Linked DNA regions of Mus musculus. Each later gene encodes a partner of the first gene's protein in a complex. Links are inferred from orthologs where the notes say so. Each region holds a gene or a part of one and is shown in the gene's direction. Other genes may lie near its edges. The genes, in order: Rbbp4, Mybl1, Tfdp2, Chaf1b, Tfdp1, Lin52 and Cdk2ap2.

Region 1 (3,500 bases):
TTGTGTTTGTTTTAAGTAGTTCTTACTATCTCAAGATGGAATTGTTTGGATTTTTGTTTTGTTGTTTTGTTATACATGTACATTGCTGACTGATATCCTGGGTTACCAACTTAAATAATGGTGATTTGTTTTTATAGGCCTGAAGGGAAAGATTTCAGCATTCATCGGCTTGTCCTGGGAACACACACATCTGATGAACAGAACCACCTGGTGATTGCCAGTGTCCAGCTCCCTAATGATGATGCTCAGTTTGATGCATCCCATTATGACAGTGAAAAAGGAGGTAGGACTCTTCCGGGATGGAAGAAGTAATGGTATATGGGTTATATCTTCATTAAGGAGGTATACAATTTGGTTAACCAGGAAGACATTGACCCAAAGACAGAAATTAGTTCATAGATGTGGGTTGCTACACCTTTTTTTTAATGTGTGCATGTTTTTTCTACATATATGTCTGCACTACTTGTGTGCTTGGTGCCTATGAAGGCCGGTAAGGGAGGGATATCAGATCCCCTGGAAGTGGGGTTATAGACATTTGTGAGCCGTTGGGAATTGAACCTGGGCCCTCTGGAAGAGCAGCTAGTGCTCTAAATCACTAAGCCATCCCCCTAGCACCATATTGAACTCAGGACCTCTGTAAGAGCAACCAGTGCTCTTAACCATTGAGCCATCTCTTCATCTCCCCTAGGTTTTTTCCAGGTACATGAGATGCAGACTAAATGTGTAGTGTGTGTTTCTTGCTCTTCTGACATCTCTTAAACTAAGGCACATGAGGCAGGAGGATCACAAGTTGTGGCCAGCCTGGGGCTAGTGATTCCCATCATAACAGAAAATGTTTACACAGCACCCAAAGTATACAATGTGTCTGTTGCTATAATTCCATGGGGTCTAGGGGCAGATTAATAAAAACATCTTAGAAGGTTAACTGATTAGGGTGGGGAGAAAAACACGAGATTATGGTTTGTTTTTGGAGACATGGTTTCTCTGTGTATGTAGCTCTGACTGTCCTTGTCACTCTAGACCAGGCTGGTCTCAAACTCAGAGATCTGCCTGCCTCTGCCTCCCAAGTGCTGGCTGGGATTGATTCTTAGGCATGTGCCACCACCTCTCAGCCACTCAGTGACTTAGGACAGTGGAAATGACTGTGGTACCTGTTACATGCATAAAAAGTTTCAGCAACCTGTTTTTTTAGGAGAATACCCTAACTGCTCACAAATACTTCTTTTTCTAGATAGGAATTGATACTTATGTCCCTGTAGAGAACTTGACTCCCAAAAGTTGTTCTTGTCACTATGTATGTTAGGAGCTTGTACATATCCACCTGAATGTGTGTGTGCAGTAAACTACAAACAGAAAAGAGAAGGGTTTTGTTTGTTTGGTTGGTTGGTTTTGGTTTTTCGAGACAGGGTTTCTCTGTGTAGACCAGGCTGTCCTGGAACTCACTCTATAGACCAGGCTGGCCTCGAACTCAGAAATCCGCCTGCCTTTGCCTCCCGAGTGCTTGGGTTAAAGGCGTGCGCCACCATGCCCAGCCAGAAAGGAGAAGTTGAGGATGGAGCTCAGTGGGTAAGTTGTTTGACATGCACAAGGCACTGGATTCTAAACCACATACAATGGTATGCATTTGCAAGGTAGGGGTAGAAGGCTGGGCATTCTAAGGGGGTTGAGTACTTACTACATACAGGACTCTTTCTCTCTTTCTTTCTTTCTTTCTTTCTTTCTTTCTTTCAAGATTTATTTATTATATGTAAGTACACTGTAGCTGTCTCAGACACACCAGAAAAGGGCGTCAGATCTCATTTCCGATGGTTGTGAGCCACCATGTGGTTGCTGGGATTTGAACTCAGGACTTTCGGAAGAGCAGTCAGTGCTCTTAACTGCAGAGCCATCTCTCCAGCCCCAGGACTTTTTCTTTTTAAGATTTATGTATATGGGTGCTCTGTCTGCATGTGCACCTACTGTTAGTAGAGGGCAGCAGAACTCATTACAGATTGAGAGCCACCATGTGGTTGCTGGGAATTGAACTCAGAACCTCTTCTCTCCTCAGGGTTTTTATTGGTACCTCAGAAAGAGGTAGTGTAGGTAGAATGTGTGGTGTGGGTTTCTTTGTTTTTCTGTAATTGGATTCAATAACTTGTAATCTCATTTTGCATGAGTGGTCTACGAGAGTGAAGGTGCGCATGTCCATGCCAGCACACTTGGAAGTCAGGGCCTTCCTCTGTCACTCTCTTGTTTAATCCTTTGACATGGTTTTGCTGAATTGGAGGCTTGCCCTGCCAGCTAGGCTGCATGTATGTCTTCATACTCTATTCCTGGGTTACAGGAAAACCTCAAGTTATACCTGGCCTTTTATGTTAGTGCCAAACTCAGGTCTTCATTCTTGCTGAATAGCAAACTTTGTACTCACTGGCCATCTCTCTGTCCTCCAAGGTCATTTAACTTGGGGTGTGTGTGTGTGTGTGTGTGTGTTGTATTTTACTTGGTTTTGAATAGGCTCTCATGTAACCCAGGCTGGCTTAAACTTGGAATCGTCATCCTTGCTTTGCCTCTGAGGTTCTGGGAGGGATTAGGCTAGCAAACCTGGCTTCTATTATTGTTTAAAAACTGTACAGTTATAAATTATTAACTTTTCCTCTAAAGTCCTCCAACTTTTTTGTCATTCTTTGAAATGCTTTCCTGTCCCAAAGAGCTCAAAATAATCTTTTTTTTTTAATACTTTAACTGATAAAACTTTGGTCTTTCTGTTTATTTTGCTGGTTGTTTATGATTAGAATTTAGTCCTGTTCCCTGAATGTTTATCTTGCTTTGGGGAGTTGGGGGTCAGCATGCTCTCTACCCCGTGAGCTGCTTCCTTTGACATCAGCTTTGTGTATTGGTGTAGGTGTGTGCCAGATGAGGAAGGATTATCATACATTAAAGGCAGTTGTCTGCATATTGAGTCCCTGAGTGAATTCTCAAAAGGGCTTCTCTGTCCTCCCCAAAAAAGAAGCAGTGATATGAATAACAGCTGTGGATTTTTTAATTTGATTATCACAATACCCCAGTGTTACATACATTATTTTTCTCTCCATTAAAGTGATACTTTACAGATCAGAGAATAAGCTTGGTATTTAAAAGGTGTGGGGGATGGTGACTTTGTTGATCTCATCAGCGATGGGCAGAGTTATGTCTAATGTTTAAGACTTTGAGTGCTGGGTTGTATCTCAGTGGTAGAATTTACTAGTCTTGGATCTGTAAGACCCTGGGCTCTATACCTAGCACCACAGACACACAAAAAAAGTGTTTTTGAGAGATTATTAGGTAAGTAATCTCCTACCTAAAAGATGAACTACATTATAAAAATTCATTGATTGATTGTGGGAAAAATGATTTGATTATTTGGTTTGTGCTGTTAAAACACATTCTTTGAGATTCCACTAAATTTATTGCCTAGAAAAGTGACTCATTAGAAATCAGAGTGACAGAACCTTATGTGTGAATACTATTAGTTTAGAAAGATG
Region 2 (3,500 bases), on another chromosome or scaffold:
GTGGGGAAGGAATTTCTGGCCGTTGCCTTTTAAAATCTTTAAAAATAATTTAGTCCCAGCCACTTGCCTTTTTGGAAGAAGACATTCGAGAAGTTTTAAAAGAAGAAACTGGAACAGATATATTCCTCAAAGAGGAAGATGAACCTGCTTATAAAAGCTGCAAACAGGAGGTAACCTTGAGTATTGTGTATGCATTTCTTTTCAGAGTTAGTTAGAGGCGGGTCTTTATGTAATTTTGGCTGCCCTCAAACTTCCAAACGCCCGCCATCACTTTCTGAGAACGGTGATTGCAGATGTGCTTCCCATCCCAGCTCTTCCAGTATTGTTGTAGTCAGTGTTTACCATGTTGGAGAGACTTGGCTATAATGTGACCCTGTAAATTACTTTTCTTAGCACTCTGCATCTGTGAAGAAGGTCAGAAAATCCCTTGCCTTAGAGAGCTGGGACAAAGAAGAACCAGGGACTCAACTGCTAACTGAAGACATTTCAGACATGCAGGTTTGTAAAGAATTCATATATGTTTTTAAATGGCTGTCTTAAGTCATAATTGTTCTCATTTCATATGGATTGCTTGGCCAGATAATTTAAAAGAGAGTTACAGAAAATTTAGGGTTATTTTGCCTAGTTCAGAGAGAATCTATTATCTGTGAAGAATATATGATTTTTTTAAACTTGTTTTATTTTGAGAAGTTAGATTTTTGTATGATATCAAAAAGTGGAGGTTCATAAAGCTTTAAGTTTTAGTATTTTATGAAATTACCAAATATTACTATAGCACTAGAAATGTATTTATGTAATTACCAAGCTATTACTATAGAACTTAGTGAGATGTTATTATAGAGCCAGATGCTTCCTAGTAGGGCAGTGAGCAGGGCTTCTATTACCATTCACTCAGTAGTTTCTTGTCTCTGTTTTTGAATTAGTTATTTTCCTCTTTCTTTTTTCTCTTAGTCAGAAAATATTCTTACAACATCTTTATTAATGATACCATTATTGGAAATACATGACAATAGGTGCAACTTGACTCCTGAAAAACAAGATATAAATTCAGCCAACAAAACATATACACTTAATAAAAAGAGACCAAACCCTAACCCTTGTAAAGCTGTCAAATTGGAAAAGAGTCTTCAGGTATGGATTCATAAATTTCTTGAGTGATTTTTGTTATTGTTTAGTCAATGATCACTTAAACTTACTGATCACAAGTTATCCTTTTTCTTTTAAAGTTGAAATTGACAAGTACAACAAAGAATGACTATTTTGTCACTGAAAGCAGGCTTGGGTTTGAGAGAGACTCATTCATCAGTGCACATGTCGTCTATACAACTGGAACTGTAGTCGGAGATTTTTTGGCTATTTTGTTTGTTTTGGGTTTTTTTTTTTTTTGCTCATTTTTGTTGTTGTTTTGAGACAGGATCTCACCTCATTATGTAGCTGAGCTTGAACTCATATATGCAGCTTCAGCTTCCTAAATCCTGGGGCACAGACTTTTGACACCATGCCTGGCCCTTCGGTGATTCCCTAATTTATTTTGTGTGTGTAGATATTTAAATCCACTTCTGATAAGTAATTGGAAACATTTCAGCATGATTTTGTTTGTATAATGGCTCCCAATAAACTTCGTGGATTAAAACTATAAAACAAAACAAAACAAAACAAAATCCCCCTATTCCTGTGTGTTCAGTAAATAGATGAAAATGAAGGCTAGAGAAATTCTTATCCTGTTATTTTAGGAGTTTTCCCAGAGAGGAAAATTAGAGAAGAAGATTTCTTCTTTATGCCACACTATATGCAGAGTAAATTCTGACATTTAAGCATTTCTTGAAAACATCTTTGGCAATCAGATATAGTAGCTACTTGTCTGTCTTAAGCTATGGCTTTCAGAGAGTGACATAATACATGCCCTTAGTTGTTTAAAATGTTTTTAATTCCCGGTGTTTAGTTAACTTAGAGCTCCTTGGAAAAGTTCACTATATAGTAGCTCTTATATATTAATATAGGAACTTTTATTCTTTAATAAGGAAGAAAACAAAGAAGGTGCACTCCTTGTTCACATTTAACATTAGATCTTCCCTTTAAGTTAGTCTGTCTCTGTCTGTCTCTGTCTCTGTCTCTGTCTCTGTCTCTGTCTCTGTCTCTGTCTCTTTTTTTCTGGCACTGGAGTCCAAACCTGGGCTCGCACATGCTAGACAAATACTCTACCAATGAGCTACATCTCCAACTCCTTTTTTTGTTTACAAAACTAGAGGGCAAAAAGGGATTATTTTTTTCCCTATTATCCATTTGCTTTGTGGGGAGTTGTTGGGAACAAAACTATTATACTGTCATTATAGGCCAGTGAACAGTGTACATAATTGTAATAATTACACAAAATTATCATAAATATTTTAGTATGTATTTAAAATAAAGCATCTCATTTAAAAAGATTCAATGTTATCAAAACATTTTTAATGCAATTACTTACAAAATTCCTAGACAAAACAATTGATTTTTGGAAGTCTAGTTGTATGGATTGGCAATGTGGCTTAGTGGGTAGAGCTGCCAAACCTGATGGCCTGGGTTCAGTTCTGCAGCCCACATGGCAGAATGAGAGGACTAACTTTTGAAAGTTGTCTTGATTTCCGCGTATGTTATGTGCCCCCCCTTTGGTATTTAATTTTACTAATCTTCATATCTCTATTCACCTTTCCTTCATAGTCAAATTGTGAATGGGAAACAGTGGTATATGGGAAGACAGAAGACCAACTTATCATGACTGAACAAGCGAGAAGATATCTGAGTACTTACACAGCTACCAGCAGCACATCAAGAGCTCTAATACTCTAACTGTTACTAAAGCTGATAAAATGCCCTACCCCTTTACTGTATTTTATGCTAAATTAGGTTGCAATGAAATTTGTCTCAATTAATTCTTTTAAAGGTTTTAATACATCCCTAAAATGGTTCACGTTTTTTTCTATATTGAACAGGCAAAAAACTAATAAGCTACTTAAAGTAAGGGGTAGGCAAATTTATTATTTATATGTTTAAGAAATGAGAGTTTTAAAATTTGTTTTAAAGAACAAAATGGGAAAATAAGCATGTTTCTGGATATTCCATAGTAAATTCTCACATAATTTCTTTACAGGATATATGTTGCTACTGTCTCAAGGCTGTAGTCTGTTATAAACAAGTTAAGTATGTGTGACCTCTGAAAGTCTACATTTAGGAAGCACAGAGGCTTTATGAAGTACTTTTGCATGTGTGCTGATTTACTAAGACTACCATTCATAAAGAAACACAGTGGGAAGGAGTCTCAAGGAAGCTAGAAGTTGCACTACTAATTTTGGTATTTTTCAGAAACAATGAAATTAACTACAGTGTTAAGGATATTTATTTGTGCATAGTACTAAAAATGCATTGAAAATGGGCTTTTTCTTACTAGTAAAGAGTCAGTATTTCTTCATAAGTCTCAGAAGAGCTGAGAATTTTGTTGAATGTATTGTACAGTATATAGGAGC
Region 3 (4,144 bases), on another chromosome or scaffold:
ATAGTCTCCAAATCTTCCAAAGAGAAAGCCAAGGGTGTTTGCTCTTGGCTTCCTCACCTCATTATGCATTTTTTCTGTCTGCTTGCCTTAGTTTCTACCTATGTACATCATCATTTTTTGAGAAAGGATCTCACTGTTATCTATCTATCTATCTATCTATCTATCTATCTATCTATCTAATGTTTTTGAGAAAGGATCTCATGTAGACTCAGTTGGTCTAAACTCCCGACTCTGCCACCCAGACCATGAGCTGACACTCTGGGGCTGGTATTTACATCAATAGCCCCCTCTCAGAGTTGTTTCCCTTATCACACCACTGAATTTTTTTTTAAAGAACTTTAAGAAGCATCTTTCCTACCTCACTGGAACATAAGCTCAATTATGCCAAGAATTTTTGTCTCTTTTGTACACACAGCCCTAGCATCATAAATAGTATTTGGCTCATAGAGCTATGAGGAAATTAAAATGAAAAAGATCAAAGTATTTTAAAGTCGGATTTTCTTATCTTACTTCCAAACGTCCACATTAGCTACAGTTCATACAGGATCCATGCACTTGAAAGGGGGAAACACCTTTTTTTGGAGGGGTGGGGGCAGGGTCAAAGTGTCTAGCCCTGGCTGGCTCAGAACTCACTGTGTTGACTAGGCTGGCCTTAGACTTAAAGAGATATGCTAGTGTCTGCCTCAGGAGTGCTGGGGTTAAAGACATGAGCCACTAAGCCAACCTGAATTTCTTAATAAATGACTGGGTATTTGAGAGTGTGTGCCTCCAACTTTTTCGGTTCAACTTCGAAATTAAGGCATCTGGCCTTAATTTATTGCTACACTTTCCCAGGAATTGAAGCATGACCAACCTCCACAGTGGTCCACGTGTGGCCTCAGGGTCACTTATCCCTCTGCCTTCCGAGTGTTCCTGGAGCAGTGGCCCATCAGAGGTCTATGGTCCAGATGTAAGGACCTAGTTCCGGTTTCTTTCCGAGAGATGGGATGGAAAAGAGAACCATACTTTAGAGCTGAGAGAAGCGAGGTGGTGGGTGGAGGTGAGGAGAGGGGCTGATGTGGTGGAGGGGGAAGGGCGAGCCTGGCTGCCCTCTAGGTGGCAGGGGTCCAGCGGCAGGCAGAGCCTCAGGGCGGCCCCTAGCGGAGAGTGGCTTTGGAGGTCAAAAGACCAGGGCAGGCTCCCGCAAGCCCGCCGCCCACCTCCGCCTCTGGCCCTGGGGGCGAGCCTGGGGGCGGGTTTTGTTTACTCCCTACACGCACTGCGGCCCGGCCAATCCGTGGAGAGCGTCGGCGCGCGTCATGCCAGCCGAGGGCCAATCGGCGCTCACCGTGCTGCTCCGCCGCCAAAGCGAGCGCGGGGGAAGCGGCGCCGCCGCGGCCGTGTCGCTGAGGGCGGACGGCGTCGGGCGCGCTGGGCTGTGCGGCCGTCGCTGCCTGGCACGCGGGGCGCGCCTTGACCCTTCCTGCACTGCAGGCTTCCGACGCGCGCGAAGACCGCGGCTGCGCGGCCGGGAGCTTGCTCCGAGCGGACCTGGCTCTGCCTGAGGAGCGGCGGCTCGCGAAGAAGCGTCTCCCCGGGAGTGGGCCGAGGGCTGTGTGGACCGGCGGCGGCCCCTCTGCACCAAGCTGCGGTAAGGTCCCGGAAAGGGCGCGGGCCTGCGCGCCAGGGGCCTTTGGACCGGGCGTGGCCCCCCGCCGGCCGGCTCTCCCCTGCCCTGTCCCGGGAGTCTCAGCTTGTCCTCAGGATTTCTCTGCAGCGGGGCCAAGCAACCCTGGAATACCTGATGAGGCTCCGGAGCCCGCGGGCTCGCCATCACCCGGGATCAGGAAGGGCAAGGGCTGACTTGGGCTTCTCACTCAGATCTTCTGACTTTCCCTCCTCCCTTCGTGATCCACCATCCTCCAGTCTGTTTCTGCGGGGTGCTTTTGCAGAGTTCCAAAGCTCTCCCTACCTGGAAGACCCCCAGGTTCCCCCAAGAGAACTTTTCCTTTCAAGTAGAGGTTACTTTCTCGGCCCAAGTTCTGGGAGGAATTCTGCACAAGGCCCTGGTTGCTGTGCACAGAGCAGCGGGAAAGTGACTGTGGGCTCCGCCGAGAGGTGGCACAGTGAAGTGCGTGGACACTCACTCGCCCGTGTTCCGGTGCTTTGTGTGGGCTCAGTTTGTTCATCTGTGAGCCACATCTGCCTATGCGAGGACGGGGAGGGTGTTGGGAGAGAGAAAAGGGCTAATCTCCGGAATGCACTTGAAACAAAGCTCACTTCTACTAAATGCATAACGTAACCCTGGATGCTGGAGGAGACTCTGGACCCCATGTTGTTTCACCTTTTCGGCTGAAATCGTTACCAGGCTTGTAGCCTGGCCTAGCAAAATGTTTACTTTGCATTCTTTTTCCATAGCATTCGTTGAAAGTACCTTTGAGCCTTTGGCGACTTCTGTCTTTCCTCCTTTCATCTCAAGGGGCTCCAACCCCTTATCCTGCCTCCTCTAGGCCAGCAGTTCTCAACCTTCCTAATGCTGTGACCTGACCCCAACCATAAAAGCATTTTGTTGCTACTTCATAACTGTAATTTTGCTACTGTTATGAATTGCAATGTAAATATTTAGGTTTTCCGATGGTCTTAGGCAAGAACGACTCCCTTTAGAAAGGGGTCATGACCCACAGGTTAGAAAACACCCCTCTACAGAGCCAGCTGCTGTGTTTCATTTGACTTAGAATTTTTCTGGGTCATTTGTTTTCTGTTCTCCTAATGGTTTGAAGTCATCGTAACTAGGCAGTATGGTTTAAGTCATTAGCCTCTTTTCCACTGTGGCAGAATTCAAAGTTGAGTATAAAATGTTTGTTTTGCATCTTGCCTCTTCCAGTCACTGATTATCTTACGATTTACTAAGGCTTTACCACTATCCCATTGCTGGAATTCATGTAAGTGTCCATTCTCAAATTGCATCAGGAGATAAAGGCGCCGGCCAGACCCCAGGTTCTGTCACGCTTGTGTACTGGCTCTGGGCAGAGTTAGTTTTAGAACATCTTGTGCCTTGGAACTAGTTTAGTGTTATGGCAGATATGGTGTCAGTAGCCAGTGCTGGCATGTGGTTGCAGAGTCAGGAATGCAGCACTTAACATTTGTTAAGAAAGTCCCGAGACTTAGTAAACCCTTCTGTTGCCTTAATTCCAGGCATAGTAAAGTAGTTTTAGTTATTCATATTACTATTTTGTGGCCGTAATTCCCTTCCCTCGCCCCTTGCGAATATGTAGTCCTTGCCGTGTGCAGGTTTTACCCTTGCAGCCAAAATTCTTAACTGACCTCCAGTACGGTTTGAGGGCTGGGGCATCAATAGCGCAGTGGTAGGGTAATTACCTAAACCTAGATTGACGCCCAGCCCCGGAAATATAAAACAGCAGTAACAAGACCTCACTTTGAAATAGGCTGTGCACTCCTTTCTTCATCTTTTAGGTTTACTTTGGTATGTGTCATGATGGCCCTCAGAAGAAACTAGATTGGGGGTTGTAAGGGTTTTAAAGATGATTAACTATAAATTGGGGCTGGCGAGATGGTTCGGTGGGTAAAGGTGCTTGTCTCCAAGTCTGCTGACCTTATCTCTGTCTGTCTCAGGGATCCACAGTGTGGATGGACAGAGCTCATCCTGAACGTTATCCTCTGACTGTTCCACACCTGTGCCCTCCTCCAAACAAACAACCCCCTACACCTCCCCCCAAAACTAAATGTACTTGCTTTTTAATACCTTTCTATCTTAACCTGTGATAACAGGACTTTAAGGATTTCTGAAGGCTAATGAACCCTTAGAAATGGTTTGCAAGATAACTTTTATTTTTATACTTTTAAAAGATTTGTTTGTTTGTTTATTTATTTATTTATTTATTTTTATGTATATTAGAACACTATAGCTGTACAGATGGTTGTGAGCCTTCATGTAGTTGTTGGGAATTGAATTTTTGGACCTCTGCTCACTCTGGTCAACCCTGCTCACTCTGGTCGGCCCCACTTGTTCAGTCCTTGCTCACTCTGGCCCAAAGATTTATTTATTACTATAGATAAGTACACTGTAGCTGTCTTCAGATACACTAGAGAGGGTGGCAGATCTCATTATGAGTGGTTTTGAGCCACCATGTAATGCTAGGATTTG
Region 4 (3,500 bases), on another chromosome or scaffold:
TGCACGTGCACACATACATACATAGTTAAGGCTCCATAACTGTGTTTCCCTTTGGTCTGGGGAAGCTCTGTGCTGCTGTCTCCTCTGCTGAGGGCCTTTGTTAGCCTGCTCAGCTCAGGCCTCGCCCAACCATCCTTCAGTTTCTGTGACCTAACTTGTCACTCTTTCTCCTCTCATATTTTCCCAACTCTGGTTTGTTTGTTTGCCTTGAAGCTCTTTGTAACCAAGGCTGGCCTTGAACCCTGGATACCCCCTACCTCCTCTTCACCTGGTGTGCACCACCAGGTCTGGCTTCAGCTCGCTCTTTGAAGCGCAGATCGTTTCCCAGCTAGCTGGTCTTGGCCTGCTCTTTGCCTACAGAGCTCTCTGACTGCAGTACCTCTCTTTCCTTCCATCTTGTTTCTGAGTCCTCCCTTTCATCTCAGCAGTTCAATGCTGCCACCATCCAGGGTCTAAGCTGCGAGTGAGGGATTCTCCTGTGCATGTCATCCCTCCCACCCCCGTCCTACCTTCTCAGGGTTGCTATTGTGAGGAGACACCATGCCCAAGGCACCTCTTATAATGGACAACATTTAATTGGGGCTGGCTTACAGTTCAGAGGTTCAGTCTGTTATCATCATGGCGGGAAGCCTGGCAGCGTACAGGCAGACATGGTGCTGGAGAGGGAGCTGAGAGTTCTACCTCTGGATCCTCAGGCAGCAGGGAGTGAACCTAGACACACTTCCTCCAACGAGACCACGCCTACTTTAACATGGCCACACCTCCTGGTAGTACCAACTCCCTTGGAGCATGTGGGGCCATTTTCTTTCAAACCACCATACTAGCCAACCCAGAGAACTAAACTGAGGGCTCTGATATTGCTCCTAATTTCTCGAACCCACACAGCCTCATGCTTGCTCTACATCCTGGCTGCCTTGAGTGCTGCAGGGGTGGGGGTGGGGCTGTGTGGAGTGATCTTTGGGTCCCCTGAGTCTGACTCGGCTTCTCTGAGGTTGCTTGCAGAGTGGCAGACAGGACGTAGGAGACAGTGCCAACATTGTGGTTCCTGCAGCGTGCTTCCTGGAAATCTTGATAATAACTTTCTCGTGCTTCTTTGTAGGGCAGAAAATTTCCATTTTCAACGAGCATAAAAGTTATGTGCAAGGAGTCACCTGGGATCCTTTGGGTCAATATATTGCGACCCTGAGCTGTGACAGGTTCGTAAGTAACATGAACGTGTTTTGCAAATGTTTTATCGCAACCTTACTAAGGGATCGATAGTCCAGCTTTGGCTTTTTTGTTTGGATCTGCTATTCTGACAAGACAGGAATTAGAGACGAATTAGGCCAGGTGCCCTGTGCAGACCTGGCACCAGTGAATCTTTACCGGATGGGTGAATTGATGTAGAAAGAACTCTTATGTTTGCCTGCATGTATGTCTTTGTACCAGGTGTGTGCCTGGTGCTCTTGGAGGCCAGAAGAGGGCATTGGGTTCCCTGGGGCTGGAGTTACAGTTGGGAGCTGTCAGTGCTGGGAACAGACTGGGCTTCCCTACAAGAGCAGTGCATGCTCATAGCCACTGGTGCATCTGTCCGCCCCGTTAGGAAGAGCTTTAGCATCAAATAAACTGAATCACACTTGACTCAAGGGGACAAGCCGCAGACTCGCAGTAGGTTGTTACTGTGTGAGACCCAGTTCCCGTGCTGGGATGGGACTCAGACTGCTCTTTCTTCAGGGTGCTGCGGATCTATAATACCCAGAAAAAGCGTGTGGCTTTCAACATTTCAAAGATGCTCTCTGGACAGGGGCCTGAAGGAGAGGTAGGAAGTACTTATCATTTTTTCATGGGTGTGTGTTTTGTGTGTGTGTGTGTGTGTGTGTGTGTGTGCCCACACGAGTATGCCTTTGGCATGTGTGTATGCATGCATATGTATGTGTGATATTCACGTTTGGGCACATGTGTGAGTGTGTGTGCAAGAATATGTGTGTGTGTTAAGAGTGCAAGTACGCATACAGGAACATGCACACACGTGTTACAGTGTGCTTCTGAAGGTCGGGAGTCAGTTCCCTTAGTGCACTGTATGGGTCCTGGGAACTCAGATCAACAGGCTTGGTAACAAGTGCCTTTTACCCTCCGAGCCATTCAGCAGCCCAGCATAAAATATCTCGCCCTTTGAGATCTGGTGAGTCTTGGGGTTGTCCTTCCTTGCCTCTGAATCACGGCACTTGCCCGACCTGCTGGCCAACTGATGAGGCTTCTCCTTGGACTGCCTTGTTGGCGTGCCAGTTCTAAGTGGTGAGCCTCTGTGGAGGGTTAGAGGCTTTCAGGTGATTTCAAGCTCTGTTACCACAGGCAAGAAGTTTCCGGATGTTTCACGACGACAGCATGAAGTCGTTCTTCCGAAGACTCAGCTTTACTCCAGATGGATCTTTGCTCCTCACTCCAGGTGTGCCTGACGGCATGTGACATAGGGGTGTGATGGCACCACAGGGACGGCTCTGTTCACTTCAGCTCCTGCAGGTGTGAGCGGAGTGGTGGTGCAAGCCTTGTACCAACCGACTACTGCATGCCATTTGTTCTGAGTCATGGTCTCGCGTAGCTCAGGCTGGTGCTGAACTCGGGTAGCTGAAGGTGATCCTCAACTTGTGATCCTCTTATCCCAGTTTCCTGAATGCTGGGATCACAGGTGTGCAGCCCAGGCCTGGCTGGGAATGTAAAACTTCCATATGGTAAAGGTGTAGCAGACTAAGTCAGTAGACACATGGTGGAAGCGCCACCTGGTGCCTTTGATACAATGTATCCTATACCTCGGCCCTCTCACTTGGCAAGAAAACAAAACACAAAAGATGAAAACCTGAAAGAAAAACTGAGGACTTAGATGAAGCTCATTAGTCAGGTGTGTCCAAGGTGTGTAAGGCTTTGGGGTCAACCCTTAGCACCACAGATAGACCAATGAGTGAAAGCAAGGTATAGATTACATCCAGGACAGGTTCTGATACCCGCCAACAGGCAAATGCAGAACTGAACTGTGTGGCAACTTAGATGTTGCTATTCTGTTCAGGTTGAAAAAAAAAGCAACAGTTCCCATTATAGCTGAGCAGAAGGTGGGTGTTGCCGCTTGGGAACGTGGCTTGTTTAGAATGCAGCCTGATAACGCCATCCAGTCCTATGCCTCACAGCTGAGACACAATTCCTTAGCAAGGAAATCAGGAATTTCTCAGTGAATCTGTCAGCTACACGTGGTAGCATTTTGCTATACTCCAACACTTGGCAGGTGGAGGTGGGAGAAGACCCAGGCCAACCTTGGTTCTGTAGTGAGTTCAAGACCAGCCTGATATGTGTGAGACCCTGGCTCAGACAAACAAATTAAAACCAAACCAATAAAATCAGTCAATCTCTCCACCCAAAACCCAAATCCCTCAAACTCCCAGATCAGCTTCTTGGCAGAGGACTGGTTTTCTGCTAGTAAATATTACAGAGTGACCAAAGCAGGGGGCCGTAGCACTGCAGAGACTGACTTT
Region 5 (4,193 bases), on another chromosome or scaffold:
ACTCATGCCTTGGGTATTTCTGGTGCAAGCTATTGACACACTCATGCCTGGGTATCGCCTCTTCTGCTTCAGCAATAAGCAGCTGTGGTTGCAGGGCTGCTTCCTCAAAGCCGCTGAGCAGTGTTCAAACAGGACAGCTGCTGGCGGACAGTTCGGCCAGATGCTAAAGAAGGGCTGTTGGGCTGAGTCATGGGACTGAGGCAGCCAGGTAACGGAGAAAGATCTGTCAGTTTGGGAGTCAAATTGACCTTTCCTCCAGAATAAAATCCGGTCACTCACATTAACAGTTTTCTGATAGTACTTAACTTTGCCCTGCTCTTCAGTCCCATATTCTTGGGAAACGTTGTGTCATTTTATCTGAACCATTTGGACTGATTTGTGAGCCCCAGCCTATTCTCCTCCCAGGCTCTCCAGCTTTAGTCTTAAAGAAGTGGCCTCTAAGATGGACTGAGTCTTCAAGGCTCAGGGTCTACCAGACCCCTCTTGGGATGAAGCAGAAGGTTTCTGAAGTGAAAGGCGCAAATGCATACACACCTGATTAACAGGCTGTTTCCTGCCCTGAATCACTGACAGCCCAGGCTCAGGGCATGTGGCTGTGGAGGTCAGTAGTTGAGCAGAGGTGGGGGATCTTGTCTCTGTATTGTTCAGTATGCATCCGAACAGTCTTTACTTTGTTCTGTGTAAATGAACAAGATTCTTCTCCCTGTGTGCACATGCAGGTACTTTAAAGCACTCTCAGAACTGACCTCTTTTTTCTCATGTGTACACACACGCCTGCTTTTTTTCAGTGCGCAGACATTAACATAGGTTTCCATATGTTTGCACAGAGGGTTCTCTTCTGTATATATGTTCAGGCGTGCACACACGACTGATACTCCATGTACACACACGTGTATACAGTCAGACTCTGCATATCCACAGGTGTGCACACACATGATCCTTTCCCTACGTGTGCATGCAGGTATGGCACACACCACATTCTTTTCACCGTTGGCGCGCGTGGTACACGCGCACACACAGAGCCAAACACGTGGCCCTCTACTCCCTGCGCATGCACACAGATATGCATACAGTTGGCCCTTGGTGTACACACACACACACATACACACACACACACACACACACACACACACACACACACACACACACAGAGGCGCGCACACACGTGGCCTCTCTCCGAGCGCACATGGAGACGCGCGCAGCGCTGTTCGGCGTCGGCGGTCTCCAGCCGGGTCCCGCCGCACGCGCACGCGCGCGCAGGCCCCGCCCCTCTCCCAGGGCGGGTAGCACCGGCGAGAGGCGCGGGAGATGAGCGGCGGGAGGAGGAGGAGGAGGAGGAGGGCGCCGAAGGCGCGAAAAGGCGCGCAGGCGCGCTGCGCGCAGCGGGCCCGCCGCCGCCCACGTCACCGCGCCGCGCGCACGTCACGCCGGCCCGACGCTCGGCCCAGGGTGAGCCCGCGTCCCGGCGCCGCTGGCTCAGGGCAGGGACCGCCAGGGCCGGACCTCCGGGCCGGCGCCTCCGCGCCCCCGTCGTCCGCCCCGCGCGCCCCGCCGGCCAGCCAGGTGTGGCGGGGGCACCGGCCGGTCGCGGCGGGAGGGCGCAGGCTGGGCGCGCGGCCCCGTTCCCGCCCCAGCCCGGTTCCCGCGTCCGGTCGCATCCCGCCCGCCGCCCAGCCTCAGCTGGAGTCGGCCTCGACGCGGCGTGGCGTGGGCGGCGGGCAGGGGTCCTGGCCACCCTCCGGCTCTGTCCGCGCCAGGGCGCGGGGCTGGTGGCTGGGCCTAGTGACAGGTGGGGCGAGCGGGCGGGCGGCCGGGAGCCCACCTGTCAGAGTGGTCGGCGGCCCCTCGGGGTCTTGGGCAGCCCGGGGTGGGGGGTGCCCGCCGCGGCCCGGGCGGAGCCACGCAGTGTCGTGTGCCCAAGTGGGGGGCCTTGTGCCTCGGCGGGGCCTGTGGTCAGGCGGGGCCCGCGTGCCCAGGTGGGGTGAGCCTGACGGCTGCGCGTCGCTCAGCCAAGGGTCCGGGGTCTGGCCCCGCTGCCGGTGGGAGCTGCTGGTGCCCGCAGGGAGCATTTCCATTTAGAGAGGTGACTTAAAATCCCCGTGTGGGACCTGCTTGGCTAGCTCTCCTGTCGGGATTGTGCAAGAAAGGCCCCTGCTGCCTGGAGGCCTGCCTCTGCCTCGTGCTGGTGGGGAGATGTTTCCTTTGAAATGCGATGTGCGTTAAATTTCTTCTCATTCTCATTCATTATTCATCCCCTCCCTTTTTTTCTTTTCTTTCTTTCTTTCTTTTTTTTTTTTTTTTAACCAGATAAGTACGGTTTCTTCTGTGGAGGGTACGCAGTTAAAGCCTTGATTTCCTGGATCTGGTAACATGGCAAAAGATGTAAGTATGGTCGCTGCATGCTGCAGACATGTTGGCACAGCTCGTTGCAGTTTTCTCCCTTTATTTGAGAGTGGCCATACGTGTGTGGCAGTGGGTTGGCCAAGACATTTTACAGGCAGGAGCTGGGATGGAGATGAGGGATGATGGCGAGAGTCGTTAGGTGGGTGTCTCCCCTCTGCACAAATGGTCTTTGTCATCCGAAGCGTGACACGTTTTTTTTTTCTTTTTTGTTTTTTTTTTCGTGGTTTGATGATGATGTCTTGATTTTTTTTTCTTTATCTAAACTGCTTAAATAAAATAAAAAAATTAATACATCTCTCAGTTATGAGTGTGTGAGAGGGTGTTGTTTGTTAGTGGGTTTCCACACAGGAGAGCTGTCAACATGGAACTTACACTGTACTAGTTTTATGTAGTACGTAAGACCGTAATCCAGCTTTGATGGATTGAATCCCAACTACTTGTTTGGGCACATTTTTCTCAGAAAGATGACATTTGGTGATTAATGAAACACCGTGGAAATGCTGGTTGGTTTAGCTTCATATTTATCACGAAGCTACCGAGCGTTTTGAAGTTTTTTTGGGAAACAGGTATGGACAATTAGGTTTTAAGGCTGTAAATACAGTCTGTATTGTTGGTCACATACATACATTTTTGCAGTATTGCTTTAACTCCCTCCAACACTGATCGTGTCCGTTCCAGTGTTCCTCAGTGTCCACTGTTCTGTGACTGTTAGATTCATGCCTTTTCTGTGCAGCCCTGGAAATGCAGGCAGACATGCCGCATCAGCTAGAGTTGTGCCCAGGTGTAGCGGAACCGTGGTGCAGGTGCGGAGTCCTGTCCTGACTGGCCCGCATGGAACAGACCCTCTTCTGGTCATCGAGCACCGGACCTGCTCCTGGGGGCCGGGGGGGGGGGGGGGTCATGTCTCACCCTGAGAGACCTTGTGTAGGTCACCTGAAGTCACAACTACATATGGCACTGGCTTGATCTCGTTATATCTGTTGTCTATGTACATCCATGTCCTGACTCCGTCCCCACGAGTGCCCTAATGAGAGACATGCCACCCAGCGCATGCCTACAAAGTAGCTAGATTTGGTGAATGGGTGTAAACGGGGTGCTGGCTCCCGTGCCTTTGTGAGGCCACATGGCATGGTGTAGTTTCACTGAGTCAGCATACTCAAGCCCAGTCATCTTAGTTTGTCATTATACACTCCTGTGTGCAGTGTCCCCTGGGGAGGCAAGTGGTCAGGAGCTCCTGTCCGGCTGCCGGTTTGGGGTTAGCCATTGTGGTGTGGCTAGGCCAGTGCTGTGACTGGGTATCAGAATGCTGCAGCTTAGTCCCCCAACAAGTGCGCACAGACATAGGCAGAGGTGAAGTGGCGCTCCCTGTTTTCTTGCAGACAGTCAAGGGTTGGGTCTTCTCTGTAGCCAACTGTGTTTTTAAGTAGGATGTGATGTTTGGGTTCGGAAAGGGACTTTGTAACTTATGCTGAAGGGAAAGAAAGAGGCACCATTGAAGTGTTCTAAGCACTTGATGCTTAAGTGAAATCTGGTTGTAAAGGGTCCTGTAGACATGTGGCTCTGAAGGCCATGACACTGGTGAGAACAGACAAAAGTCACGCTTGAGGTCACAGAAGAGGGGCAGGAAGGGCAGACAGAAGACAAATAACTTAGGGTTTTTCTGCCCCTGCTGGTGCCCAGGCAGACCAGCAGGTAAGTTGGGCTCACTGTGAACCGGGGCTGTGAAGCCGGGCAGGCAGTTGTCAGTGGACAGGATGGGGATGGCAGGAGCTGGCACGGAGCAGTGGAGT
Region 6 (4,090 bases), on another chromosome or scaffold:
GCAGTATTAGCAAAACCACATGCCCTTATTTACCTCCAAAAGTTTAACTTCGCTGAGAAAGTTTAACTTGGCCCAGGGCTTGGGAAAAACACTAAAAGCCAGAATGTTTGTGAAAACTAACAAATGGCTGCCTTTTTGATATGAAAACCTAGGGTACATGTCTAGGAGATTCAAAGTTCCTTCTCTGATCTTAGTTCCATGTCCTTAATGAGCTCCCATCCCCTCTTGCCTCACATAGAGGCTGGATGGGGGGAAGGGACGCTCCTGGCAAAGGAAAGTACTCTATGTACAGCGACCAAAAGGAGGAGTTTCTGGGGCACAGAGGTGGCTGGTACAGAGGTGAAAGAGAGACCGTGGGAGGAACCAAAAAAGAGAAAGCAAGCCAGCATGTGACAGCAAGGACTGAGCTGGACTGGAGGTGGGTGGGTCAAAGCTAAAAAAGAAAAGGCTCAGGAGTAAAGGGGAGTGGGGAGCAGGCGTGACCGTCCGGGGCTGAATCTCGGGGCCAGGCGGTACAGAGTGACAGCCCTGACGCACGGGTCTGGTGGAACACAAGGGGCTGCAAAGAAGGGGCTGGGCCAAGAAGTCTGTCCGGCAGAAGCATGGTTTAGAGACGGGGCGGAAAGGACCCATTTCTAACATCATGGTCCCTCGTCGCCACCCTCACTCGCCTGCAGGATCCGGGACCGCATTGCTGCCGCTGCCGCCACTGCCGCCGCCATGGCTCACCGACTCTGCCCAGCTCGCCTGCGTCTCGGCTGCCAGTGCCTCCCTTGAAGCAACACCGTTAAGCCACGCCCAGAACACGACCGAGCCTCTCCATTGGAGGGAAGGGCCACTTCCTATAACCAATCACTTGTCGGAATCTTTGACTCCACCCATCATTCCCACCCCTGGGAATAGGTGATTGGTCAAAGGTGGAAGCGTTCTGGGCTTCTCTCACTTTATCCTATTTTTGTTGGCGGAAATATGGAGACGCCCCCTCGACTTGGTACTGCATAGTAAGCACACAGGGAAGACGCCCCCTAACCGGGAACTCCGATTGGCTGTAGGTAGGCTCTCTAAGGTCCCGCCCCCTTGCTAAGGAAAGTAAATAAGGTCCTTGAAGAATTTTGCCTGCGTTCCACTTTAACCACTCCGTGGGTGGGGCTGCTGTCTGGGGTGGGACTAGGCAAATGTTACCCTATGAAGTAGGGAAACGAGACCGGGCTGTGAGCTAAGGATAGGTTATCCCTGCTAGGGGCGTGGCTTGCGGATCCTCGCTTTCCCGCCGACGGTTGGTTACGTCACGTGACATGGGCTGGAAGATGGCGTCTCCCACAGACGGTAAGAGCCGGCTTGGAGATTGTTGGCCTGTAGTATCATTATTTGCTTCTCTGGGAACTTCCTCTGTCCTCACCCTTACTCTTTTTTTCTTGCGCCCCTCTCCTTTCTCTCCCACTTTTCTCCTTTGGGGTATGCCGGCTTTTCAGCTAGCAGGTGCCTAGTACCAGGTCTCCTTGCTGTGTACTAGGAAGGAGTCCATCAACCGGAGTCCCTATGGGGGGAAAAAGGACAGAGGTCGCTCCGGCCCATCGGTGATGCTGAGGGTTCAAAAGGAGCTGCTGAGGGGAAAGGGAACTTTCTTTTTGAACAGGCCCATTGGAGTGTTGGTTCTGTTCTCATCTCAGTAGAGCTGGTACGTATGAGTCTCTCAAGCTCTATGGCTGTGAAGTGTGAGTGGTGACTGACATGAGGTCTAGGGTTCATTCCTCTACCGAGCCGGCAGAGAGAGAAGCTTGTCTCCTCAGTTCAGGTCCGTTGCCTTGGCAGCAGGAGGTGCGGGGACCTGGTTTCCTTGCCCTGAGTCCCGAGGGAGTGAAAATTCGGCTTGTTAATGTCGCTTCTCACGCTTCTCAACTCTTCCTTAACTCGTCACCCCTCTACTTTATGTGTTGTTTCCGTAGGCTGAGGGCAGGAGCAATTCTGCTTATTCTGTCTTCTAAGACGCAAGTCATCTCAGTAGACATATAGGTGTTCTTGATATACCCGTATGCTTTTGCTCGCGGTTTTGCTTTAATATTTGGAATTGCTCTTCTGTCATTATTCAGCATCTCAGTTTATATAGTTATTCTGTTAACTTTGCACTTTGCCCGGGCCACACCCAACTATAAATTCCAATTCTGTCTTATTTCATTAATTTAGTCCTAGGGTTTTTTTTTGGGGGGGGGTTGTTTGTTTATTTTTACTATTTATTTATTTATTTTGGTTTTTCGAGACAGGGTTTCTCTGTATAGCCCTGGCTGTCCTGGAACTCACTCTGTAGACCAGGCTGGCCTCGAACTCAGAAATCCGCCTGCCTCTGCCTCCCGAGTGCTGGGATTAAAGGCGTGCACTACCACTGCCCGGCTAATCCTAGGTTTTAGAATAATGCCTGTAAAGGATTTGGCTTTAAGTTAACGTTTATCCAAAAGTAAAACTGGCCTTGGTGTGTGACCTCTAATTCTAGCTTGGGAGATTGAGGCAGGAGGTTTGTTGCTTCAGGCTTGCCTAGGCTGTAGAGGGAATTGTAGGCAAATCGTGTCTAAAATAAAAAGTTGGTTTAGTTTGTTGGTTGTTTTGTTTTTGTTTTTGTTTTTCCTGAGACAAGGTTTCTTGTATAGTCCTGGCTGTCCTGAAACTTGCTCTATAGACAAGGCTGGCTTTGAACTCAGAGCTCTTCCTACCTCTGCCTCCCGAGGCGTGCACCACCATAACACAGCTTAAAATAAAACGTTTTATTTTTAAAAGTAAGGGAGGAGTGACTGGAGAGATGGCTCAGAGATTAAGAGCACTGGTGCTCTTCCAGAAGTCCTGAGTCCAATTCCCAGCAACCCTATAGTGACTCCTGACCATCTACAATGAAATCTGGTGCCCCCGTCTGGTGTGCAGGTGTACATGCAGGCAGAACACTGTGTACATAGTAAATAAATCTTTTTTTAAAATGTGAGGGGGATGCAGGGGGCTGGTGAGATGGCTCAGTAGTTAGGAACACCTGGTGCTTTTGCAAAAGACCTGGATTCTATTCCCAGCATCTACATGGTGACTCATGACTCGATTCCAGTGGATCTGACCGCCATGAACATCAAGCACACATGTACTCCACATATATACCATGAAGACAAGACAGTCATACCATAACTACATCTGAAAATGAACAATAAGAAGTGAGACTGTAGTTCAGCACTAGGGAGTTGTTGATCATGACCAAGACCCTAAGTTCAGTCTTTAGTACTAAAGAGGATGATTAGATTATATTCAAAAGTAAGGATACCAGAGTTTCCTCCTTTCTAATTCTTTCCTTTTTTTGAGATAGGGTCTCACTGTGTAGCCCAGGTTGGCTTCAGACTCACCATCCTCTTGCTTTCCTACCTGTGCCTCCAGTAAAAGTCTGTACCACTATGCCTGGCCTCTTACCAAAGAAGTTGTGTTCACAACAAAAGAGATTCTCTAGCCTGGGTGTTTTTTTGTTTGTTTGTTTGTTTGTTTTTTGTTCTGTTTTGTTTTTGCTAAAACATCCTTTTCTTACTAGCAAAAAAAAAAAAAAGTGTTGGTAAGATTTTTGTTGTCTTTTTAAAAAATTGGGGTTCATCTTGGTGTCTGTGGAGGTCTCCTGGGAGCAGGATTTCTAAAAGCCAGTATCTGGAAGACTGTGGTACAAGGCCAGTTTTTGCTGGATAAGTGAGGTTCTAGAAGCAGAGAGCATCCAGCTCTTCTTCAAATTGAAGGTGCTGGTATCTGAGAGGAGACTTAATTCTACTAAGACAAAGAGATGTGCTTATGTGTATCAGAAAGTAACACAGTGACTCCTGGAGCAGACCAAACAAAAGCAGAGAATTGTGCTGAGAGATAAGTCTTCTGTGGAGAGATAAGTCTCGGCCCTGTAGAAATGGTAGCAGCCATCGTGCAAAGGCCAGAATCCATGGAATGCTACACAAATGTAAACTAACGAAAAGTAAATAAGTCAAAGAACTTGGGTTTGTGGCATTGCAGTTTCTTGAGATGGAGAAGGTTGGGTAAGTGGATTTTGAACATAGCGCTATTAAGGGGTTTTCCCTACGTGCAAATGGAG
Region 7 (3,623 bases), on another chromosome or scaffold:
GAGACCCTTTCTCAGAAAAAAAAAAAAAAAAAAAGTCTAGGGTGTTTTCTCTGACTGTACGTTTGTGTACTACCTGCTTGCTAGGTGCCCACTGAGAACAGAAAGAGATATTGGGCCCCCTGGAAATGCAGTTACAGATGGTTCTGAGGCACTTTATGTAAATGCTTAGAATTCTAACCTGGGTCCTCTGGAGGAGCAGCCTGTCCTCTTACCTGCTAAGCCATCTCTGCAGTCGCTTTTTTAAAAAGTGAGTTGAGGGCTAAAGCAGCAGTTCTGCAGACATATATGCAGACAAAACACTCGTATACATAAAATAGTTTTATTTTAATTTTAAAGTGAATTGATTTCAAGGAAATAGGAACTAGATGGCCAGACCCAGGTGGGAGTTTCATTAATGACGTCAGAACAATAATCAACCATGCTTCAACCCATATGGGGCTGGCTCTCATCTCTATTTCTCTACCCACTTCCAAGTTTACTTTCCAGGTATTACTGTCTTCATGTTTCATGAGAAAACGGAAACCTATTAGGGCAAGAAACTGGCGTGTGACTGTAATCCTTTAGCATTTCCGAGACAAGAGCATCAGGAATTCAAGGTCACCCTCCCCTACCCGGAGAGTTCGAGTTCTGACTGGGCTACTTGAGACCTTGTCTCAATCTCATCCCACCCGCCAAAAAGAGTCCAGGAGGAAACCATTAATGAGGTGTTGAGATTCCAGCCAAGGGTCTTGACCAGGGTCCTGACTTGACCTAACGCAATTCTTGATCTATGATGCTCTATCATTGTCTGTGGAGAGAGTAGGGGACTTAGGGTTCAGTGTCGAGCAGCGTCGTTGGCTGCCTTGGACCCACCTGCCTAGACCGAAGATTCAAACCAATCCAGAGAAGGAGCTTGGTAATGACTTTGGTGAGGGAACCGTTGCCATGGGAACAAATACAGGCCTGAGGCGCGCACATGCGCACAGCCGAAGGGGGGGGGACACGGAACCAGTGAAAGGTGACGTAAAACGCTCGGGGTAGGGCGGAGTGCTCACACTGTGGGAGCCGTGGCCTTGGGAGTTCTGAGCGGAGGGAAGTCGCGAAGCGGTGAGGACGAAGTGTGTTCGGCGGCCCGCCACACACCACCGGAGCAAACCGCGGGGACCAGACTGGCCCGCTGCCGAGGCCCCGCCTCTTGGACCTCGGGACTAATCGGATTGAAAGCGCGCCGGCCCCGGGCCCCGAACTCGCCAATTGAGGAGGACGACTGTCACCGCCCAATCCGGGGCAGACAGGTGCGAGGTCCGGAAGGTGGAGGCCAATCGGCAGCGGTTGCGCCCTGCGGGGGCAAGATTCAGCCAATGAGGAGGCTCGAGTGACAGCTGAGCGCGCCAATCGAGAGTGAGGACCGATCGTGCCCGCCCACCCTTCCGGCCGGAGCTCTATTTACCAGGGGCGTGCAGCTCGCTTGCCAATCAGAGTGCGGCTGAGCTGCCGGACAGCCAACCCCAGAGGAGCGGCCGGCTGGCGGCCGCCGCACTGAGGAGTTGGGATGTCCTACAAACCTATCGCGCCCGCCCCCAGCAGTACCCCGGGCTCCAGCACCCCCGGGCCAGGCACCCCGGTCCCTACAGGTGAGGCTCCAACTCCATCCTTGTTCGCCTTGTCCGGGCAGTCGAGGTCTTGGAGAGAAACCGCTCGAGTTTTGCAATCCGGGGCCTGCTAGACGAGCCTGGCTCAGCCTCAGTTTGCTGGCCTGAGAAGTGGGCGTGGTCACGTAGAGCTTGTAGGTGGAGCGCAGGGGGGAGGAGTGTGTCTCCGAAGTTGTTCAGAGTGGAATGAAGAAGCATGCCGTTGGAGGTTAGTCAAGGGAACAGTCCTGGGCTTGGAAATCTGTGACGAGGCCCTTGTCACACTCTGACCTCTTGCTGGTGTCGTTGCAGCCGGGAGTGTCCCATCGCCATCGGGCTCAGTGCCAGGAGCTGCCGCACCTTTCAGACCGCTGTTTAACGACTTTGGTCCGCCCTCCATGGGGTATGTACAGGTGAGTGTGGCCAAGAGCTTGCTTATGGCTGAGGACAGGAGATCCCCTCGGGGTCTGAGATCACGTCTGTATTTTCTTTTGACACAGGCGATGAAGCCACCTGGTTCCCAGGGCTCTCAGAGCACCTACACGGACCTGCTGTCTGTCATAGAGGAGATGGGCAAAGAGATCCGGCCCACCTATGCTGGTAGCAAGAGTGCCATGGAGCGCCTGAAGAGAGGTAAGTGAAGCCACAGGCCTGCCCTTGCTCTGCCCAGGACACAGACACTGAACTTTAAGACAGTTCAGTAAGGATGGAGGATATCTAGAGTCAGGACAGGACATTTGGGCCAGCCTCGATTGGAACAGAACGTGTACCTAAGGAGGGGTTTTAAATGAACTTTTCCATTTTCAAATGAGTCTGTTTCCAAGAAGGTGCCTGGGAACTCGGATTAGCCAACCCTTAATCCCATCCATCCTCATTAGATTAGAGGTGCTCTTGCTGAACCATGGAGCGGTGGGGGAGTGTCTGCTCTGAAGGGTGGCTGTGGACTGTTTCTGGGGCCCTGTTTATTACTTCCCCATCCTCACCGCACCCCAGGCATCATCCACGCTCGGGCACTAGTCAGAGAGTGCTTGGCAGAGACAGAACGCAATGCCCGCACGTAACAGGAAGCACCTTGACCTCCTCGCCGGGACCTTTCTGGCCACTGCAGAGCGCCTGCTTCTCCCTGGCCTTCGCGCCCCAAGTTGCTTCCTATCCTGGGCTTCCTGTCCTGTGTCCCTTAGTGGGCACCCTCCAGGAACCAGGTAGCAGATCTTCGTCCAGTTGGCTGTACAAACTGGTCTCCTCCCTCTGTGGGAGTGCTGGGAGGCCACTGGGAGTCCCTTCCATGACCTGCTCACAGTGCTGATCTGACGGGAGCTTGCTCCTCTCTGTGGCCCCACCACACAGCACTTACTCCTTAACTCTTAGCCCAGGCCACCTCCTGCCTCTTCAACAGGAGTGCAGAAGACCTTCCTGCCTCATCTCTGGGGCCACAGCCGACTCTTTTTTTGGTGTGTCTTTTACTAAATATGTCCTTTTTGTATAAATAAAAGATGCTTTGGAGTCATTCTCTCAGCCTTTCTGTGTGTGGTTCCTCTGGGGAAGCCTGAGTGGGCAGAGGGGAAGGGCAGAGCAGGAACTGGGAAGGGCGCTTGAACCGAGCTTTGCCTTCCCATCTTGTCCATTGCTACCTCCAGCTCTGCGCCTTGCAGCTGAAGGCCAGACAGAACACCAATGATGTCTGCATAAGGAGGTGCCACCAGGGGGCAGCGTAGGGCTTGGCTGCCTTCACAGCTGGAGGCACTATTGGACAGCCGGAGCCTAAAGGGCCCTTCCTGTAGATTGGCAGGCATGCCTGGCAGGGTGGAAATACCAGTTCACTTAAGCCTCTCCCGTGAACGTCCTAATGCCCCTACACCAGCTCCGCTTTAAAACCATCCTTGGAAGGCTCTAAATACACCGGGTCCCTGACTCCTAAGGGAGGCAGTTAGAGGCTCCTTCCCCCCCACCCCCAGCACCTTGGCTTGATGCTGCTATCCACTGTCCTGACAACTTCCACAAGGCTGGGTGTGG

Evidence for each region.
Region 2: Rbbp4 (region 1) and Mybl1 share a complex: the UniProt entries of both Homo sapiens proteins name them as parts of the DREAM complex. The link is inferred for Mus musculus from reciprocal best matches to the Homo sapiens genes RBBP4 and MYBL1.
Region 3: Rbbp4 (region 1) and Tfdp2 share a complex: the UniProt entries of both Homo sapiens proteins name them as parts of the DREAM complex. The link is inferred for Mus musculus from reciprocal best matches to the Homo sapiens genes RBBP4 and TFDP2.
Region 4: the proteins of Rbbp4 (region 1) and Chaf1b are in contact, whole or in part, in a crystal structure (PDB 7Y5O), measured with the Homo sapiens proteins. The link is inferred for Mus musculus from reciprocal best matches to the Homo sapiens genes RBBP4 and CHAF1B. Residues at the interface, in NP_005601.1 of Homo sapiens: Gly58, Lys59, Asp60, Asn88, Asp89, Asp90, Ala91, Phe93, Glu406, Asn410; in NP_005432.1 of Homo sapiens: Arg28, Lys48, Gly49, Pro50, Asp51, Gly52, Lys53, Lys377, Lys385.
Region 5: Rbbp4 (region 1) and Tfdp1 share a complex: the UniProt entries of both Homo sapiens proteins name them as parts of the DREAM complex. The link is inferred for Mus musculus from reciprocal best matches to the Homo sapiens genes RBBP4 and TFDP1.
Region 6: Rbbp4 (region 1) and Lin52 share a complex: the UniProt entries of both Homo sapiens proteins name them as parts of the DREAM complex. The link is inferred for Mus musculus from reciprocal best matches to the Homo sapiens genes RBBP4 and LIN52.
Region 7: Rbbp4 (region 1) and Cdk2ap2 share a complex: the UniProt entries of both Homo sapiens proteins name them as parts of the nucleosome remodeling and deacetylase (NuRD) repressor complex. The link is inferred for Mus musculus from reciprocal best matches to the Homo sapiens genes RBBP4 and CDK2AP2.

What each region holds. Positions count from the first base shown.
Region 1 is NC_000070.6:129,325,371-129,328,870, reverse strand, and holds part of Rbbp4 (histone-binding protein RBBP4), read left to right. Parts: intron 1-137; coding exon 138-283; intron 284-3,500. UniProt on the Homo sapiens protein: Core histone-binding subunit that may target chromatin assembly factors, chromatin remodeling factors and histone deacetylases to their histone substrates in a manner that is regulated by nucleosomal DNA.
Region 2 is NC_000067.6:9,669,210-9,672,709, reverse strand, and holds part of Mybl1 (myb-related protein A), read left to right. Parts: intron 1-53; coding exon 54-170; intron 171-393; coding exon 394-498; intron 499-951; coding exon of another isoform or gene 952-1,131; intron 1,132-2,697; coding exon 2,698-2,826; 3' UTR 2,827-3,500. UniProt on the Homo sapiens protein: Transcription factor that specifically recognizes the sequence 5'-YAAC[GT]G-3'.
Region 3 is NC_000075.6:96,194,931-96,199,074, forward strand, and holds the start of Tfdp2 (transcription factor Dp-2), read left to right. Parts: upstream 1-1,344; 5' UTR 1,345-1,630; intron 1,631-4,144. UniProt on the Homo sapiens protein: Can stimulate E2F-dependent transcription.
Region 4 is NC_000082.6:93,890,401-93,893,900, forward strand, and holds part of Chaf1b (chromatin assembly factor 1 subunit B), read left to right. Parts: intron 1-1,099; coding exon 1,100-1,196; intron 1,197-1,713; coding exon 1,714-1,798; intron 1,799-2,331; coding exon 2,332-2,425; exon of another isoform or gene 2,426-2,499; intron 2,500-3,500. UniProt on the Homo sapiens protein: Acts as a component of the histone chaperone complex chromatin assembly factor 1 (CAF-1), which assembles histone octamers onto DNA during replication and repair.
Region 5 is NC_000074.6:13,337,358-13,341,550, forward strand, and holds the start of Tfdp1 (transcription factor Dp-1), read left to right. Parts: upstream 1-1,393; 5' UTR 1,394-1,449; exon of another isoform or gene 1,450-1,563; intron 1,564-1,584; exon of another isoform or gene 1,585-2,083; intron 2,084-2,307; 5' UTR 2,308-2,370; coding exon 2,371-2,382; intron 2,383-4,193. UniProt on the Homo sapiens protein: Can stimulate E2F-dependent transcription.
Region 6 is NC_000078.6:84,450,218-84,454,307, forward strand, and holds the start of Lin52 (protein lin-52 homolog), read left to right. Parts: upstream 1-1,290; 5' UTR 1,291-1,295; coding exon 1,296-1,326; intron 1,327-4,090. Other genes in the region: Aldh6a1 (methylmalonate-semialdehyde dehydrogenase [acylating], mitochondrial isoform 1 precursor), read right to left, coding at 672-722.
Region 7 is NC_000085.6:4,095,895-4,099,517, forward strand, and holds Cdk2ap2 (cyclin-dependent kinase 2-associated protein 2), read left to right. Parts: upstream 1-1,456; 5' UTR 1,457-1,531; coding exon 1,532-1,613; exon of another isoform or gene 1,614-1,817; coding exon of another isoform or gene 1,818-1,839; intron 1,840-1,922; coding exon 1,923-2,023; intron 2,024-2,110; coding exon 2,111-2,243; intron 2,244-2,603; coding exon 2,604-2,671; 3' UTR 2,672-3,123; downstream 3,124-3,623. UniProt on the Homo sapiens protein: Acts as a component of the histone deacetylase NuRD complex which participates in the remodeling of chromatin.